2 linked regions of the Diceros bicornis minor genome follow. The protein of the gene in region 1 interacts with the protein of each later gene in a pairwise test. Links are inferred from orthologs where the notes say so. Each region holds a gene or a part of one and is shown in the gene's direction. Other genes may lie near its edges.

Region 1 (7,673 bases):
CTTGTCCCCCTGGGACATCCAAGTGGGCATAACTGGGAGGTGGGCCCTTGCCCCTAGGATTGCCCTTTTAAGGGCCTAAGCCTGACCCCAGTGGCCATTGCCCAGCCAATGGGAGCCCCCAGTTCTCAGAATTCTAACCAAAAGGAGTTTCCAGCAGCCAATGGGAGCCTCCCTCTCACTTCTTAGAATCCTTAGACAAGAGGGCAACTCCGGCCAGTGTTGAGCGTCTGAACATGGAATAGGAGTCCTTGGTTTTCAGAATTTCTAGGGTGGGTGGGTATGATACCAGTCAATGGGGGACCGCCCATGGCCAAGCACGTGCAAGGGAGAGGAGGGAGATGGGGTCATCCTTTGTCATCGGGTGCTCTCTCCTCAGTATCAGAGAGTCCAGCCAGAGGGTGGGGGGCAGGATCCCCCGCAGCGGGGACCTCGGGGCACCCGTTCCCCCTAGCCCCTCCCCCACATGTACCCTCTCCCCCAGTCCCTCCTAACTCCCTCCTTATGCAGGGCTTGCCCCAGTTCAAAGGTTTTGGGGTTCAGGGTGCTGTGTGTCTTCTTGCCTGTGTCCACGTCACCCCAAACCCTTTTGTTATTTATTACGGCTGTGGGAAAGGACTTTTTTTTTTCTTGGAACCCACCCCTCTTCTTCACACTGCCCCCCATGCCTCAGCCTCCTGCAGCTGTGCCATCATAGGGGGCATGGGTGGAGCAGAGAGGGCTCCCCCTCCCTGGGCACTCAAAGGCAGTGGGCAGAGGAGACACTGCCCCCCTTTCCTGCCCTCTCCTTATCTTTAATAAAGACCTGTTTGTAACAGAAGTGTGGCCACCTGTCTTCCTCTCCCAGGTGGCGAGATGTGGAGGACTTAAATCTGCGTCTGGGTGTCTGTGGGGCTGGGTGGGGGTGTATTGTCCCAGTGTGTCCGAGGGCGATTGTGGAGAGACAGTGTGGAGTCGTGGGGCTAGCGACTTGGGTTTAAATCCTGGCTCAGCATTTCCTGGTTGTGTGGCCTCAGGAAAGTTAATTAACCTCTCTGTGCCCTTGTTTCTTCATCTGTCGATGTGAACGGCCCCACAAGCCACACGTGAGGCTCACGGTGATGGGCCTCACGTGACTGTCTTCCCCTGGCAGCTGGCCTGCTTCTGGCCACAGCCAGGGTGCAGAGGGCATAGGGTGACGGGACCCTGAGGGTCCTGATAGCAAAGGGGGATGCTGAGGGCACTAGGAACCTCTAGCTGAACCCCTGGCTGCAGGGATGAGAGCAGGGGTTCTGATTGTGAGCTTGTGCTGAGTCCCAACCGTTGAGGGCCCAACAGAGACCAGGGAGGGCAGGAGGGGCAGGGAGTCACTGACCCCGCCCCCCACGGCTCTGCGGGGCTTCAGACAGGCAATTCAGGGCACAGAGTCATCCAGGAACCAGGAAAGGGGAGTCTGCTTCCCTTCCCCCTCATTCGTTCATTCAACAAACACTGCAGAGCACCTACTGTATGGTGCTGTTTCGCTAGGCACAGGCGCTAAGACACAAATTCCTGCCCTCACAGAGCTCGCATTCTAACATGTGAGAGACAGACAATAAACAAGATAAATAAGTTTTATACAGAGCCACAATCCTAAATCTTAAAAAGGTCTGACAACCAAAAATTGTTTTGTAACTCATTTGTGCATGAGGTTATGTGAGGCTGATATGAGGTTATGTGTAGCTCTTATTTATTTAACATGTGAATATTCTTGTTTTGCTGCAGATAAAGCGTTTGATTTGGGGATGTTATCCTAGGACCCACTAGGGGCTTATGCAATACATAGTATTTACACGACAGTACCTTTTGAAAATCTGAATAAGTCTGAATTCCAAACTCTAAGATCAAGGATTTAGGTCAAGGATTGGGATCTCTGATATGTTGAATATTGATAAGTGGTAAGGAGAAAATTCAAGCTAGAGAAGGCAATGGGGCAACTATGGGATGGGGACACGGTTTGCAACTTAAAGAGGATGATCAGGGTCCTTGTCTCTGAAGTGATGGCGCTGGAGATGAGGTGTGAAGGTGGAGAGGGAAGGAGACATGAAAACATCAGGGGTGGAGGGAGAAGCGTTCCAGGCAGAGGGGAGAGCAAGCACCAAGGCCCTGAGGTGGGAACGTGCCTGCTGTGGTCCGGGAGGTGAGGACACCCGTGTGGCTGGAGGGGAGTGAGCGAGGGGGAGGTGATGGTGCTGATGTGGGGCACGGGGAAGGAGATGGGAGCATGAGAGGGCTGGAGGCAGAGGAAAGAGAGAATCCGCTTCACCGACCAGAGCTCCTATTTCCAGGGGTCGCATCCCTGAGACCCATGGTCCCCCTGTCGTACAGCTGCCTCCACGCGGGCCAGGAAAGAAGCAAAACTTCAGCACGGCGGACAGCGCCTCCTGGCCAGCCCACCTGGCGCTGTCCATGGTTCTGATGTTAAACGGGGGCCAAGAAAGGGTAAAGTGGGGGCTAGAGAGGGTGGCGACAGCAGCCCTGGCCTTGCCCACACCCCCATCCCAGGATGGATAATGTCAGGTAGAGAACCCAGACTAAGGTGTACTTGCTTATTCAAAAACCTCATCAACGTGCCCCCGTGGGGGTCTCACATCTTAAACTCAACTCGATCGAATCTGAGCTCCAGTTTAGGAAGTAAGTCAGACCATGATCCTCTTTTGCTCAAACCCTCTCATGGCTCCCCATGGCACTCTAAGTAAAAACCAAAGTTCTCCCGATGCCTCAGGGCCTTTGCACTTGCCAGTGTCTCCATCTGGAATGCTCTTCCCCCACATTTCTGCATGGTTCACTCACCTCCTTTAAGCCTTTTCTCAAATGTCACCTTCTCACTGAGGCCTGTCCCTGCCACCCTATCCAAAATGTCAAAAAAAAAAACAAAACTGGCCCTTCTGACTTCCCTCCCCTCTGCAAACTTTTTTTGGCATACATTTATCATCTGCTCATAGACTATTTAAACTGATTTGGCACACAGTAGGTGCTCAATAAGTGTCTGCTAAATGAATGAACTAATCACTCAGGATGCTGATAAACCAGGAAGAAGCACAGACTGGCCCTGAGCTGTCCACTTCCCGGTCCCCTCATCCTTCAGTCCTCCTCCTCCGGGAAGCCCCTCTATGGCAAGGGTCCTACTGTCAGGATATGAAGATGGGATTCTGAGAAGTGAGAGAAAGAAGCACTGTGTGCATGAGAGATATGCCAAACACCTGCATCTCTGCCAGTGTACCCACTCAGCCTACATTTATGAGCACCTACTGTGTGCCAGGCCCTGTTCTAGGCACTGGGGACCCAGCAGTGAACAAAACAGAGACCCTATCCTGGTGGATATGACATTGTAGTCAGGAGAGAGGCAATAAAACCCAAATAAAAATACATAACGTTGGAAGGGTTAAGTTATTCGAAGAGAAATAAAAATGGAGACACAAAGAATGAAGGGTGTGCGATTTTACACATGTGGTCAGGGAGAGCCTCTCTGAGTAGGTGATATTCGAGCAGAGATCTGAATGGAATGGGAAAATGAGCCACAGGGATATCTTCGAGCTGAGGGCTCTCAGCAAGGGAACAGCGAGTGCAGTGGGGCTGTGTTCAGCATGCTCCCGTGTATGCGACTGTGCGGGACTGTGTGACACGGGTGTCCTTACTGAGTGCTTGTGCATTTGGGGTGTTGCAAAGTGAGGGGTTGTGCATCTTTTGGGGGGGCTGAGGCGGTGCGTCTGACAAGGCAGTATAACAGTGTACCGTGTGTGTGTGTGTAAAGAGCTGTAGGCACATCAGCTGAAAGGAAACGTGACTATGTGTGTGTAGCGGCAATGGTATGGTTGTATTAGAGTGTGTTCTGGCGTGTGTGCAAGGGAAGGGATGTGGGGCATGAATGTGGGAGAGAGTGTGTATGGGATGCTTCGTGTCAGGGTAGGACAGGGCTGCGAGCATGTGGGTGATGGGATTCTGGAAGCAGAATATATACAGAGATGCCGTGGTGTGTGTGTGTGTGTAGAGTGGTGTGGGGGTGCCGGCTGTGTGAGTGGGTGGATTGGGGGATGTTGTGGAGCTGTGTTCTGGCCCCAGAGGGAGAGAGAAAGCCCAGGAAATCTCAGTTCGCCTTGCCCCTGGGTCTCCTGGCAACGGCACCACTTTGAAGTTACCAAGAGACAGAGTTGCCAGGGCAACAGGGGCGTGAGTGGCAGCTCTGGGGCGAAGTCTGGGTGAGGAGACCCAGCCAGCGATCACTCGATCGCTCACCTTGTTCCTCCTTCTCTCCCAGTTTCTCATCAATCCCACCTTCCTTTCTTCATTCATTTACTTAATGAGCACATGTTGAGGATCTACAATGAGCTAGTCACTGTTCCGGGCGCCGGAGATACCGAAATGAGCAAGACAAACAAGATCCCTGCCGTGGCTCTCCCTCAGTCTCCCCGGCCCTGTCTCTGTGTTGCCCAGTGCCTTCTTTGGTCTATGGTCTTGCCTTCCCCCGTACCCCGAGCAGGACCCAAGGAACCCCCAGGGCAATGAGGAAGACAGTTGAGAGCCCTCTCCTCACAGCCCCTCAGAGATGGCTGCTGCTGTTTTGCACACGAATGTCGCCAAGCCTGCAGCCCCAGACACACACTTGTGCGGGTACTCGGGTGCAGAGAGACACGAGCACACAGCTCATCCATCCCTCCACTTCTCCATTGTCACTGGGTGACCTCAGCGGAAACACACACAGACACATGCCCATCACGATATTCCTCTGAGACATCAGGAGCTCCATTTTACAGGTGAGCAAACTGAGGCTAGGAGACTTTAAATAATATGTCAGCGATTAGGGCTTGCTCCCTCCAACTCTCAACCCTTTTATCTGTCTGATTAGCTGACTAGTTCAAAATAATAGTATTCGTGCTGCTTCCCTCAGCAGCTCACCTAAGGGAAGGAAGAGCCTTTTCTCCCTCAAACGCCCGCATTCCTCCTCCCTCAGACTAGGCGATTTGCCGCTTCACCAGGGGAGGAGCTAGCAAAAGCCGATCTACCGTTGATGGACAGATCCATGCACCAGTGGAGACGCTAAATGCGCTGTAACCAATGATGCCTCGTCTTGGGCGGGATTAAGGGCAGGAACGGCCGCCGATTGGACAGAGTTACATTCCGAATGGCGGAGACGCTGAGGCGGGTGCTAAGCCGGGGCAGCGCCGCCGGGTCCGGGGAGAACACAGCCGAGGCTGGGCCGCCTTTGCTGCTGCTCGGCGGTCCCGGCTCTGGAAAGACAGCGCTGCTATTCGCGGCGGCCCTGGAGGCGGCAGGGGAGGGCCGAGGGCCCGTCCTCTTCCTGACCCGGAGGCCTCTGCAAAGCCTGCCTCGCGGGACGGGGGCAGCGCTCGACCACCTGCGCCTGCAGGTAACCGAGGGCGGGATCAGAGGCGGGCCAGCCAGTGGCGGGGCGGATCGACGATTGAGTGACAGGTAGACAGACCAATGGCGGGGACGAAGGGAGGACGAGCCGGAGCAGCCATTTTGGGGCGGAGTCAGGAACGAGCCGGGGGGGGGGACCATGCGAAGTTTAGTTAAGATTGACTGAAATGCCGTCCAATGATGGAGCGGAGTTAGCGAAAGGGTGGAGTCAGGGGCGAGCAAGGGGCGGGGCTAAGCTTAGGTCTAGCCTGGACACGAGTTGGTACCAGTGGAACTGAGTCAATGGTGGGGTCACACTGGGGACGCCACGGGTGGGTTTTCCGTGGAAAGACTGCCCTAGAGATTTGGCAAAAAGACACACCTGTTTTCAGCTAATACCAGGCAGTGATGAGTGCTGGATAATAAGAGGGGGAGAGGGCAAAAGAATATTGGATCACTGTGAACTGCTTCACTCTGGTACCAGCTGTCCGGGCAGTGAGCGCCTTGTCCAGGAAATTATGCAAGGAAGCGGGGCTGCTATAGCTGGGAATCTGGCTTCCTGTGCTGAATCTGGCCCTTTCCTTCTTTTCTCCCTCTAGAAGATCCGCCTCCAGTACCCACCCTCGACCCGTGAGCTTCTCCAGCTCCTGTGCTCTGCTCATGAGGCCCGGGGGCCAGCCCCCTCCCTCCTGCTGCTCGATGGCCTGGAGGAGTACCTAGCTGAAGACCGGGGGCCCCAGGAAGCCGCCTACCTGGCTGCCCTGCTTCTGGACACAGCTGCCCACTTTAGCCACCGAATTGGGCCTGGTGGTGGCTGTGGGCTCATTGTGACCCTCCAGACCCAGGAGGAGGGAGACATTGGGGACGCCCTGCAGCTGTCACTGCTCCAGCGGTATTTCCCTGCCCAGTGCTGGCTGCAGCCAGATGCACCAGGCCCAGGACAGCACCGCCTCCGAGCCAGCCTGGAGCCAGGTGGGCTGGGCCCCAGGGCAGAGTGGTGGGTGACTTTCCGACCAGATGGAGAGATGACAGTCACCCCGTGGCCTACCCAGGCTGGCGACCCCAGCTCAGACAAGGGTTCAAGCTCTGGAGGGCAGCCTTGAGCTTTGGTATGTGACAACCTCTCTATGCCTTGGTTTCCTGTGTCTGGAATACTTCCCCCAGGGAAATGTGCAGATTCCAAGACCTAAAGAATGTAAAGTGCTTTTTCTCTTTTAAAAGTAGCATTACTGTGTACATATTATGCTCAATCAACATATTGTTTCGTTTTGCTATTTTGAACTTTATAAAAAGAGTTTCGTGATAAATGTAATCTTATGAGACTTCCTTTTCTCCCACTCAGCATCGTTACTAAGACTCAGCCACATTTTCTAGTGCATTCCTTTTTCCCTACTGGGTATAGTTCCAGTATACCCCAATTTAATCATCAGATTGACTTATTTACTGCTCTGAACATTCTTGCACACATGTCCTGGTGCATGTGTGTGAGAGTTTTTAGGGTATATACCTAGAAGTGGGATTCCTGGAGCAGAAGATATGCATATGTTCAGCTTTCCTAGGTTATATGAAACTTTAAAAAAATGATTAAACCAGAACTCCCATGGAGCCACTTGGTGACACTTAGTGTCATCAGAGTACTTTCTTTGAACAGGGCCTGTCACAGAATAAAGCCCTATGAATTAATGTTATTATTATTAGTGGCAGAGACAAGCTAGAGGTTCATGAAACAGCATTCCTCTGGATGCACAGCTAAACTACATTTCCCAGCAGTTTGTGGGACTAGCTGGGGGGGGGGGGTCACATGACTGTTTTTGGCCAGTGGGATTTATGAAGAAGAGATGGTACCCACTTCTAGGCTAGATTCCTAAAACGGCCCACAGAATCTTCTGCTGTCTCTCTCTTTGCTTGTTGGCTGGAAGGATACAGAGGATCCATCCAAAGATGTGAGGGTGGCCTTGAGGGATGGTGAAGCCACAGACCAGAAGAGTCTGGGCTTCTGACTCATCCCAGGGATGGCTGCCCACCTGCCTGAACTGAGATGTGAGAGAGAAACCATTTAATGTTAAGCCATGCAGATTTGGGAGTTGTTTGTTACGGCAGCTAGTATAACTTATACTGACTGATTCATTTTATTAGGATTATCATTCAGATTGCCAGGGCCAGAATTTCAGACTGAGCTCAAGGCTTTTTACTGCTGCCCCTATGGCCTGGGCCCAGGGACAGATGGGGCTTACAGGCCATTTGCAGAAGTCATGATAGAAAAACTTACATATATATATCTATACAAAGAACTATAC
Region 2 (10,749 bases), on another chromosome or scaffold:
GTAGATCTTTGATGAAAGTTTCTTTTAAAGAAATGGAACTCCTAGCTATGGCACTAGAAGGCATTTAGCTTGACTCTAGCTCTGGACCCTCAGTCAAGTGGAAAGGACACCCAAGCAGCAGGCAGACTGACTCTGGATAGAACAAGTGTCAACTGCTGGTTTCTACAAAGAGATGCACAGAAACATGACAGAAATTCCTTCTCCATCCAGAAGCTCAGCCCTGGTTCTTGCTCTTCCGTTTTGGCTCTAGTTTTTTACCAGAAGTGGCACTACAAAGCTTACCCCTTCTCCTGGTGCTTTGCCAGGGGAGAACAGATGACCCCACAGTTTTAGTCTGTTCTCAGAAGAACCGAAGCTTCCCAAGACCCAAAGCTTGGCAGGAGGACCCTATTCAGCCAGGACATGGAGCAAGGGCAGGCTGCCCACAAGATGCTCCTAGTCAGAGCAAAATGTCTAGAAACAACTCCCCTCCTAACTAATCAGCCTTTCTAAGTCTGAAGATCTGGCCATATATTTTCTGGTCTCATGCTTCTCTTAATAAAACAAAATGAAAAAACACTTTTGAGGAGAGTATAGAGTAACTTAGAGGCTAATTATTAGTGGCTATTACACAAGCTTTCACCTCTATAAGACCATGAATGTCTTTCTCTCCAGTGTTATTAGCTTTGAGCTTCTTATCCTAGAATTTCATACCACATCAACATCTAGTCCTGTTTGTTACTCCTCCAAGGGAGACTGATCCCAGCTGCAATGCTCCTGACACGCCCAACCTCAAAGCTCCTCGAAAGACTTAAAGTCCAAGGCCCTCAGAAGCTCTAGCTTATCTGGTGTCCAACCAAATGCAGGGAGACTAAGTGGGTCCTGCTAAGAATGAAGGAGCTGGTGACTAAGGGAGCAGAGACCAGTGCCAGGACCCTTGGCCTCAACGAGCACTCTTTCTGGAGCACTAGGCTTGATGTCATTCAAAACCTCTGGTATCCAACTTCTGCAGTAACTAAAAACCTAAGGAAAAGCTACTCTTAGGTCTTCCCTTAAATTCACCCAAGGGGCCGGCCCGGTGGCACAGCAGTTAAGTGCGCATGCTCCGTTTCGGCAGCCCAAGGGTTCGCAGGTTCGGATCCCCCGTGTGCACCGACACACCACTTGTCAAGCCATGCTGTGGTGGCGTCCCATATAAAGTAGAGGAAGATGGGCACAGATGTTAGCCCAGGGCCAATCTTCCTCAGCAAAATAGAGGAGGACTGGCATCAGATGTTAGCTCAGGGCTGATCTTCCTCACAAAAGAAAAAAAAATCATCTGAAAATACAAATCTCTAGAGGAGTTCTCTGCTTACATCCTACCTGTTTCTCCTTTGAACTCCACCCAGAGAGAATGAAAGGCACCAGGCCTCACTCATCAGTATTCCTGATCTTTGGCACACATCCAAATTGTTTTCTAAAGCTTTTCCTGTGTAGCTGGCAGGTGTTTTCTTCTTTACACAAATTTAGACTCATCTAATACTTTTAAATTAGCACCGACTTCCTGTCCTACTTACCCAAAGGTCTTTTACTCCTAGATATTTCCCCTTCCAAAAAACCTAGCTACCTGATCATCTCTACATGCTTTAAAAACACTGCCCACTCAACTAGCCACTGAGACACTCCCACAGCAACTCTCTCATCATTTAACTTTATGCCTAACTTCCTGGTTTGTTGACACTTATATCAGCAAAATGGTTTCTTTAAAGTATATTATCCCCAGCAGCCTCTACATTGTTCCCTCCTCTTCAAGGAAGAGCTAAACTAAAGTTCTGCCTATAACTTCCCGCCCCACTTCAACACGGAACAGAAAACTTAATTAGCTCTGTCACAGTGAGCCAGAGGTGTGAGGGCTTTCTGCCCCACTCAGCAGGCTAATGGAAACAGCAGGGGCAAAACTGGAAAAGATGAAGATTCCAGAGATGAGGGAGGGAACACCTTGAGTGTGACATCCAATTTTTTGGAGACCCAGATGATTAGTAGTAGTAGGTAAATGAAAATTATAAAACATCCAACAGGCAAAGATTTCTGCCCACAGCCCTACCCCCTCGCTGCTGCCACACCTAGATTCTGACTATACTTACCTATTCTGAGCAGCATAGATACTGGCCAGCTTTAGAGAGATTTCAATGACTGCATTGTCTTCCTGTTGGGAGAAAGAAAAATGAAGGATATTCATGACAAGTAAAATTCCCTCAAGAATATTTCAGATCAACTTCTAGACTGACTTTGGCCTGAACGTCTTTATCCTTTAGGAGGATTTAGCCAGATTTAGCCAACTTTGAATTCCTCAGCTACCATGCTTTTGCATGAGTGAAAGACTGGCAGTTTTTATATAGGTCCTGGGGGAAAAAAAATCCACCTTTTTTGGCCAAAGCACATGTTGGGGACTGGGTGGAGTTTTCAGGAAGCAAGATTATTGTGAAAACTGCTTCAGCTACAGCCCAATCCTAGGCAACGTCCTTACCTGTTGCATGCCCCCTCCAAGCAGGTAACTCATTGTTGCTTTAAAAAGTTTTTCTGCCTAAAAGCATAAGGAAAAGACTTTTTTTGTTGAGGAAGATTGGCCCTGCGTTAACATATTTCTCTTTTTTCTCCCCAAAGCCCCAGCACATAGTTGTGTATCATAGTTGTACAGCTGTAGCTCTTCTCTGTGGGACAGCGCCTCAGCATGGCTTGACGAGCAGTGAGTAGGTCCGTGCCCAGGATCCAAACCGGCAAACTCCAGGCCACCGAAGCAGAACATGCGAACTTAATGGCTATGGCACTGGGCCGGCCCAAGATTTTTTTTTCACTTGGCCCCCAATATCTATATGACTCTGGATTCTAAGTACTAGTCTGATGCATCATTCCTTGTAAAGCACAATATACACACTCATATACACACAAAGTGCCCTTGTGATGGGAAAAAAGAATAAAATTCCAGGATCCCACGTCCTCTGGGCACCTTACAAACTATTCTGTGATGAGTAGAAACCAACTTCAGAAATTAACTTTTCATCCAAACCCACTGTGGCAGAGACTGCAAACTATTCCCTAATAGTCACTCTCCTCTCCATCTTTTTAGTTACAGAATCTCCTCAATTTTTAATAGGTCAGCATCCTTTGCAGTTTGGTGTGGTCGTATGATGAAGTTTTGGCCAAGAGATGAAGACAGAAGAAAATGTGAACAATTTTTAAATCATATTTTATAAGAAAGCTTCTTGCCCTCCATCCTCTCTTTCTTCCTTCCTGCAGGCTGGAGGTGAGCTAGCTCACCTATGTAGATGAGGACATATCTTAGAAGGAACCTGGGCTTCTGGACCATTTCATGGAGCAGAGGTACCTATCCCTCTTCAGTGTTAGCTACCTCTGGACTAACGCGTTAAAGAGAAATATACCTCCTTCTCGTTTCAGTCCCTCTATTTTGGAGTCTCTTTGCTACAGCAGCTTAGCCCATAGCCTTATTAATAAAGTTCCCTTAAGGCTACTCCTTCATAAATTCAATATTATTCAAAATATTACGAAGTAATTTACTTACTTACATCTTCAAGCTGACCCCGTATATATGCTAAGTTGGCCATCTGAAAGCAAATTACAAATTGTTTTTCAGTTTAGAGCACTGTGTTCCTACTTACTTCAAAATCTTCAAGCTAAAGATTCCTTTTTGCTTTTACCCTCTAAATAAAAAAATAGTTCAGAGAAAGAAGTATGTCACTAATCTGCTAACAGCAAAGTTCAGCAACAGTGTGAGAGTAAACACCTGGATATACATACACTCTGCTGATGACAAACCAAATCTAAATCCACTCATTGCTGAAGAAACAAATATTGTCAAATTTGATCTGGGTTTGAGACTTCTTATAAGTGACACCCCAAGGGTAATAAAAATTGAAACCAAAAGAAAACTTAGTAAAACAAAAAACCAAAGCGTTTTAGGACATCCTGAAGGTCAGGAATATAAATCAGGAGAGCTAAAAACTCTTCTCTTGCATCTATCTTTCATCATCAGGGACTCAGATTGGTTAGAAGAGTTACCAAATCATAAGTGTAAGTGATGGCCTTCTTGTTATCACTCTGATAGGCAAGACGAAGAGCGTCATGCAAAATTAGCTCAGCCTCTTCTGGCTCATCTTTCATGATGCTCAACTGAAAAGAAAAAACAAAGAAAATAATAGGAAATGAAATGTAAAGAAAGCAGATGCATGTGCTACCAGACAGAATCGGATATGCCTATACACTCCAATACATACAAGGAAGCTATTCATTCATTCATCAAATATTTACTGAATTCCTACTATGCACCAGGCATTATGTCTATAATAGTGACAGAGGTGGTCAGCTTTTGTTGCAGCTATGTGTGGCCATATGACAAAGTTCTGGCCAACAGATGCAGGCAGCAGGAATATGAGCAATCTTTATACCATATTTTATAAGGAAGCTGCTTGCCCTACATCCTCTTTCTCTCTTCCTGCAAGATGGAAATGACCCTGTAGGACAAGTAAGCTTAATTACAACTAATGATAGGAGCTATAATGAAAAACAATGGAAAGGAACAAAAAGGGGTCTCCTCTAAACGGAAGTCAGAAAAGCCTTCCAAGGGAGTGACAGTTAAACTGAAGTAGGAAGGATGAGAGTCAGCCAAATAAGGAATTATGGGGAAAAATGACCCAAACAGAGAGCAGGGAATGAGTGAAGGCCCTAGAGGCTGAAGAGAATGGTTCTTCAAGAACCATTCAAGAAATGAAAGGAAACAGATGTGAAGTGAGGATGGTGAGCCACAGGATTATTGCCAAACGGGCAAGCAAGGCAGGGTGGTGTAGACCATGTAGGGTCCTGCAGGCCATGGCATAAGAGTTTAGATTTTACCATAAATGCAGAGGGAAGTCATTCAAAATCTTTAGGCAAGGAGGTGATATGGTCTGACTTACATTTTAAAAAAATCACTCTAGCTGCTGCATGGAGAATGAATTGTAAGGGCGGAGCAACAGAGCAGACAAGACTACTAGATAGTGGGCTGCAGCAACAGTAGAGTGACAGCAGGAGAGACAGAAAAGGGGGCAGACTTGAGAAATATCTTGGATTTGGTGGCAACAGGATTTGTTGCTGGACTGTAAGTGAACTGGGAGGCGATGGTAAGGTACCACAAGTTTTAAGAATGACTGTGAGGTTTCCAGGCTGAAAAACTGGGTAGACAGTAGTAAAGAGAAGATGGTGAAGGAATGTGTCGGGGAGGCATTTAAGATCAAGAGTTTAGCTTCGGACAGGTTAAGTCCGAGAGGTAGGAGGGACCTCAAAGTGGGGACGGCATGGCAGGAGCACACTGCAGTATGGGAATATATAATTTGGACGTTGTTGGCTGGCCTGGAGGCGGTTGTTAGTACAATGGAAGAGATGCGATAACCTGGGGAGGAGAAGAAAAAATAGAAATGATTGTGGACAAAAGGAAGAGTTTAAAAAGACAGAACCAAACCGCGCATAACCAACACTAAACTGCATTTTCAGGACGCTACATACGTGCAAAATTCTCTATGCCAGTCCTTTCAGCTTGGCAGGTTCACTGATAAAAACAACTACAAAACACTTCTGCAAATTTTGTTTGGATAAAAGGCCGATGCCTGTGGTGCCATCTCCATTTCCAGCCGAGACTGCAGCGGTTTCACTGCAGGCTTTAGAGTCTGACGAGCCTAGGTGGATCCTAACCCCCGCCCCCATGACCCATCTAATTCCGGGTAGTCTACCCTCGGAGCCTCCACCGAGTCCTGGGTAAACGAGAGAGGAATGCGCATCGACAAGGCCTCCAGGCTCGCGCACCCGGGCCGCCTCACCTTGGCTCGCTTCAGCAGCTGGATGATCTCGGCCTCGGCCTCGTCCGCCGCGTCCCCGGCGGCGGCCCCGCCCGCTCCCCGCCGCTCCTCCTCCTCCTCCGCAGCGGGCCTCGAGAACCAGGAGAGGGCTGCGGGAAGGCGCTCTGAGGTCACCGGGCCCGGCCCGCGCCCCGACCCCGGCCCAGACGGCCCCGCCCCGCCCGCGCCTCTCACCTGCCAGCAGCGGCAGCAGGCCCGGACCCCGGCCGGGCGGCGCGACTCGGGAGGCCGGCACCTCCACCTCGGGCAGCCGGCCTCCTGCCGGCCCCAGGAGCGGGCGCGCCGGCCAGCCCCGGCACCGCCGCCCAGCGGTCCGCAGGAGACCTCGGCCTAGGCTCTGGGTCAGCAGTCGGTACATGCTCACGCCGCGTCCTCTGCGCACTGCAGGCCCGGCCGGAGCGCGGGACGTCCCGACCCCGGCGCCCAGCTCCCGCCGGATTGGTAGGAGGCGTCATCGTCACCGCCCGCTTGCGCGATAACGCACGTGACGTCACCGCGCCTCGCCCCGCCCCGGCTGGCGGCGGCAATTCCCCGCGCGTCTGTCGCAGCGTCGCGCCGGCTAGTCCTCCTGAGGAGGCCGCCGCCTGTAAGCGCCATGGCTGTTGCCTTGCCGGCGGTCACGTTGCCGGCTGTGGTGGAGGAACTTCTAAGCGAGATGGCCGCGGCAGTGCGGGAGAGCGCGCGAAGTACGGGCCTGAGGGCGTGTGTAGCTGCGTCGTGGGCCGCGGACTCGCCCCGCCGGGCGGGGGGCGAGAGGCCGGGGTTTCGGCCTGCGGGCGCTGGGTTGGGGCCCCGGCCCCGCGCTCTAGCCCTGGCCCCTCCGTGCTCTTTTGTGGTGTGGTTCAGTGGCCAGACCTCCTAGTCGTAAAACAAAAAAAACAAAGGATAAGAAAAGGTGGAAGTGTTGAGGGCACAGCGCGGTTCCTCCTGCGGCCCCTCCTCAGGGAGAGAGCAGGCCAGTGGGGAGCCCGGGACGGAGGTGCCGAGCGCGGCCAGAGGACGCGTGTGAAGGGGCCCCGGGCCGGAGCGCGGAGGGCCCGGAGCCCACGCGGACTTACAGAGAGGTGAAGTTCTGAATTGTTCAAGTTGCCTGCAGGCGTTTTCCCTCAGGATCTTATGTTAACTTTAAAATTAATTCTCTCATACGCCTTGTTCAGCAAGTAAATATTTTAGGGCCAGAAACCCAAAATGCATACGCAGTGACGAGTAAATCTGGATACTGTGAAAGTACCTTTTCTTTCCTCCGACCAGCAGAGGATGCTGTGAGACCGCGCTCACCAGAAGCACCGAGCTGGTCTCAAGATGTGTTCGCAGCGTACTAGTATCAAGAGGATACGTGTAATCAAAATGCACCGACTGCTTAGAACTACCCACCGGTGTAAAAGTGGCCGTTTAACAAATAGCAGATTAGGCCTCAATACGGCCACTGCTTATTCGCGTGGATGGCTCTTGTGTTGAAACGACTGCACTTTGAAAGGGTTTATCTTGACTTTTAGTGTTTTCAGAGGATTGAGAAGAGTAAGCCAACTTGTTTTTTCGTTCCAGTTCAAACTAACACAGTATACGTGCTTGGAAGATTAGGCCAGCCAGGTGTTCAAACACGTTCTGACCCCAGCGAGGCTGGGGGAAAGCCAGTCTGATGTGGCTCCCACAGTGATTGACAGAAGCGGGCCCTGTCCGAGTGGATTAATCCGTACACCGTGACAGCCTTGAGGGGTGCCGCTGGTGCTCGTGGCTCAGACCGAGGGACTGCTGCCGTTGATTGATGTTTATTTTCAGCAGAACCGCTTTCTGCTATTTTAAAGTCTTGGTTGTAGATAGTGATACACTGTTCCTGACCCCCATCCGTCGATGGTAGTTTTTTTAGATCAAGATCCTGAGTTTACACTTGTATGAGGAGGTAAAGTCTAGTTACAGCTGAGCCATGTAGGAAGCTATGATTCACTTTTCCTTTCCTGCATAACTTTTTGTTTTCCCTGGAATTAATAACTGTCGTGGTTGTGTGTGTTTGCTTGTTTAGTTTTCTACATATTTATCCGTAATTCAACCTCAAACTCTTTACCAGTGTTGTAGATCCCTACTCAAGATGTTCAAGTGAATGTTTCATCAATTTCGTTTTCCTGTAGAAGTCTCTCCTAGAGCCTTCTGAGTTACTCTGATGATGGACCAGCTGCTCTCCCCGCTATCTCCTGAGATCTCTTCACCATTATTATCCTGGGAATTTCCTTTGCCTATGTTGAGCCTTATGTTGAGTATATCCTACAATTTTCTTTTTATGAGTTTACTATCTTATTTTATAGAGCTCATACTCTAGAACCTTCCTGAAGAAGAGGACATGAGATGTACTTTTAGAGGCTTTACATGTTTGGAAAAGTTCTTTTTCTGTTCTCACACTTAATTGATAGTTTGGCTAGGTTTTGAATCATGTGTTGGAAATAATACTTCTTCAGCCATCTGAAAGCATTATTCCAGTACCTTCTAGCTTCTTAAACTTATTTTAAAAGAGTCTTTCTTATTTTAGCCCCCCTGCTTCATCCCTTGCTCCAGAGCTATCTGGTGCCACCAGTTGCTGAGGGATTTTTTTTTTTTTTTTTTGGGTGGGAGAGTGGATTCTGGAATGTAATCAGGTTGTTGCTTAGCTCTCACCATTGCTGGCTTAGGATTCAATTTTCTCAGGTCTTGTAAATTATTTTCCAGTGTATCTTAGCTGTTGTGTCTCCCTGTCTTTCTCATCCTTGGGAGTTTAGGCTTTTTAAAACAAATCCCTCTACTGTTGTTTAGTGGAATATTGGGAAGGAGTAAAATTAGGTGCACAGGCTCAATTCACCATCTTACACAAAAGTCTTTTTAGTTATAGTCTTTTTAAGATTTTTATGTCTGTGGTCACTGGTTTAACATGATTAACTTTCTTTCCATTTCCTGTTTTACAGTTCCTGATGAACATCTTTTATCGTAAGTACATATGCTGTCATATTTGTTTTTTTAACCATTAATGTATTTTAAAAGCCAAATCCTTTCAACATCAACTCTTGATTTTTGAAAATATTCTTACTAAACTAGGAACAATATTTTCTTGACATGATTGTTAAAAATCTGTCTCAAGTGAATAGCCAACACCATATTTGACAGTACAAGGCATTCCCATATTGTCCTATGCCACTTTTGTTTAACATTGTTCTAGAAGTTGTAGCTGTTACACTAACACATGAAAAATTAGAAGTATACCTGTCTGCAAGGAAAGACAGTTATTATTTGTAGATGATATAACTATTTTTTAAAAACCAAGAGGATAAAGTTATTTTTTTAAAATACAGAAATTAAAAATCATTTTCTTTCATACACAAAGTTCAAAAATATAATTACTTTCTCAATAGCAATAAAAAAGTGAAAGCTACTTAGGGATAAATGACATTTAATTGCATATATACACTTATATTTAAAAGTCCAGGAGGATATACACCAGCCTATACCAGTGATTATCTTAGGGGGAAGGAAAGAGGGGAATTTAGAAAAGAGCTCTAACCTTTTCTCTGTTTCTGAAGTTTTCTACAAAGATTATACATTACTAGAAAAAAATAGCTACTTATAAAACAAAGAAAATTGGCAAATAAAAGAATGCAAATTACTGAAAACTTTGGGAAAAAAAGATGAATCTTACTAGTGATCATAAAAATACAAATTAAAATAGTGAGATAACCTTTCCATCTATAAAACTGACTACCACAGAAAACATGTTGGTAAGAATGTTCCAGATGTTGACAGGAACGTGGAGAAAAGGATAACTGATACCCTGTTGGTAGGAGTGTAAATTGGAAGGTAATCTGGCAACAGGCAATAGACGCTTTAAAACATACACATTCCTTGACCCAGAAATATGACTTACAAGAATGTATCCCAAGGAAGTAATCATGGATGTTCATAAAGATTTTACAGTGAGCATCCAGTATTGTTTATGGTAGGAAAAAAAAAGCTTGGAAACAATCTAGTTATTCAAATTAGATTTGATAAACTCTCATCCAAAGATAGAGTTTGGGGAAGTAAAAGTAGTTCATCTTTACAATGGAATTCTTTGTAACCATTAAAAGTGATATAAAAAAATATTGCATTCAAGAGATGTTTATAATATGTTATGAAGTGTACAAAGCAGGTTGAAAAAATTCTTTTTAGATCCGTTTTTAAAGTTAATGGTGATTATCTCTGATTGATAAAGTTACCACCACGTTTTATTTCTTTATTTTTTTTGTCCATAGGCAGTCTTAATATGCTTAATGTAAAAAATTTAAAAACTCTTCCCATTTAAATAGTTTGTTGTATAAAGAGACTAGTTTCTTGGAAAGTGAAGTTGAACATTTTAATTTTGAAGGCTTAGTAGTTCTGTCTTCTTATTTTGTGTAAAAATCCTATGGGTTCTTTAAAACATTAACTCTTCAATTTTAGTTCAACCCAGCCATTTTATTTTCCAGTTTATAAAAATAACCTATACTCATTAAAAAAAATGTTCTTGGAAAATAAAGAAAACATAAAAAGCATCAACATTATACCACCCAGTGATAATCACTGTTACATTTCAGTTTATTGCCTTTTTTTAAAAATTAAACATTTTATTTTGAGATAACTGTAGATTTTCTTAAAAAATTTTTTCACATGATTGAGTTTCTAAATATACAATTTTATGCCTAAGCTTTCTCACCTAACATAAGAATTTTCCCACCTATCAAATTTTTTCTGATATATCATTTAACAGCTCGATAGCCTTTATTATTAATCCAAAAAGTACAAATTTAACACTCATCAGATGGTCAGACATGAAAAAGTCTGATAATGCTGTGTTGGTATGGATGTGGAGAAAATAGAACTCTCATTCAGTGCTGATGGGAGTGCCTTT

Evidence for each region.
Region 2: the proteins of SWSAP1 (region 1) and ZSWIM7 interact in binary tests that used the Homo sapiens proteins (3 or more experiments, as listed by UniProt). The link is inferred for Diceros bicornis minor from reciprocal best matches to the Homo sapiens genes SWSAP1 and ZSWIM7.

The regions. Positions count from the first base shown.
Region 1 is NC_080769.1:8,098,989-8,106,661, reverse strand, and holds SWSAP1 (ATPase SWSAP1), read left to right. Parts: upstream 1-5,137; coding exon 5,138-5,383; intron 5,384-5,975; coding exon 5,976-6,479; 3' UTR 6,480-7,127; downstream 7,128-7,673. UniProt on the Homo sapiens protein: ATPase which is preferentially stimulated by single-stranded DNA and is involved in homologous recombination repair (HRR). Has a DNA-binding activity which is independent of its ATPase activity.
Region 2 is NC_080757.1:2,750,711-2,761,459, forward strand, and holds the start of ZSWIM7 (zinc finger SWIM domain-containing protein 7), read left to right. Parts: upstream 1-6,406; 5' UTR 6,407-6,459; coding exon 6,460-6,550; intron 6,551-7,118; exon of another isoform or gene 7,119-8,760; coding exon of another isoform or gene 8,761-8,794; coding exon 8,795-8,816; intron 8,817-10,749. Other genes in the region: TTC19 (tetratricopeptide repeat protein 19, mitochondrial), read right to left, coding at 2,103-2,164, 2,486-2,542, 3,543-3,581, 4,036-4,146, 5,826-5,953, 6,039-6,222. UniProt on the Homo sapiens protein: Involved in early stages of the homologous recombination repair (HRR) pathway of double-stranded DNA breaks arising during DNA replication or induced by DNA-damaging agents. Required for meiotic progression, hence for fertility.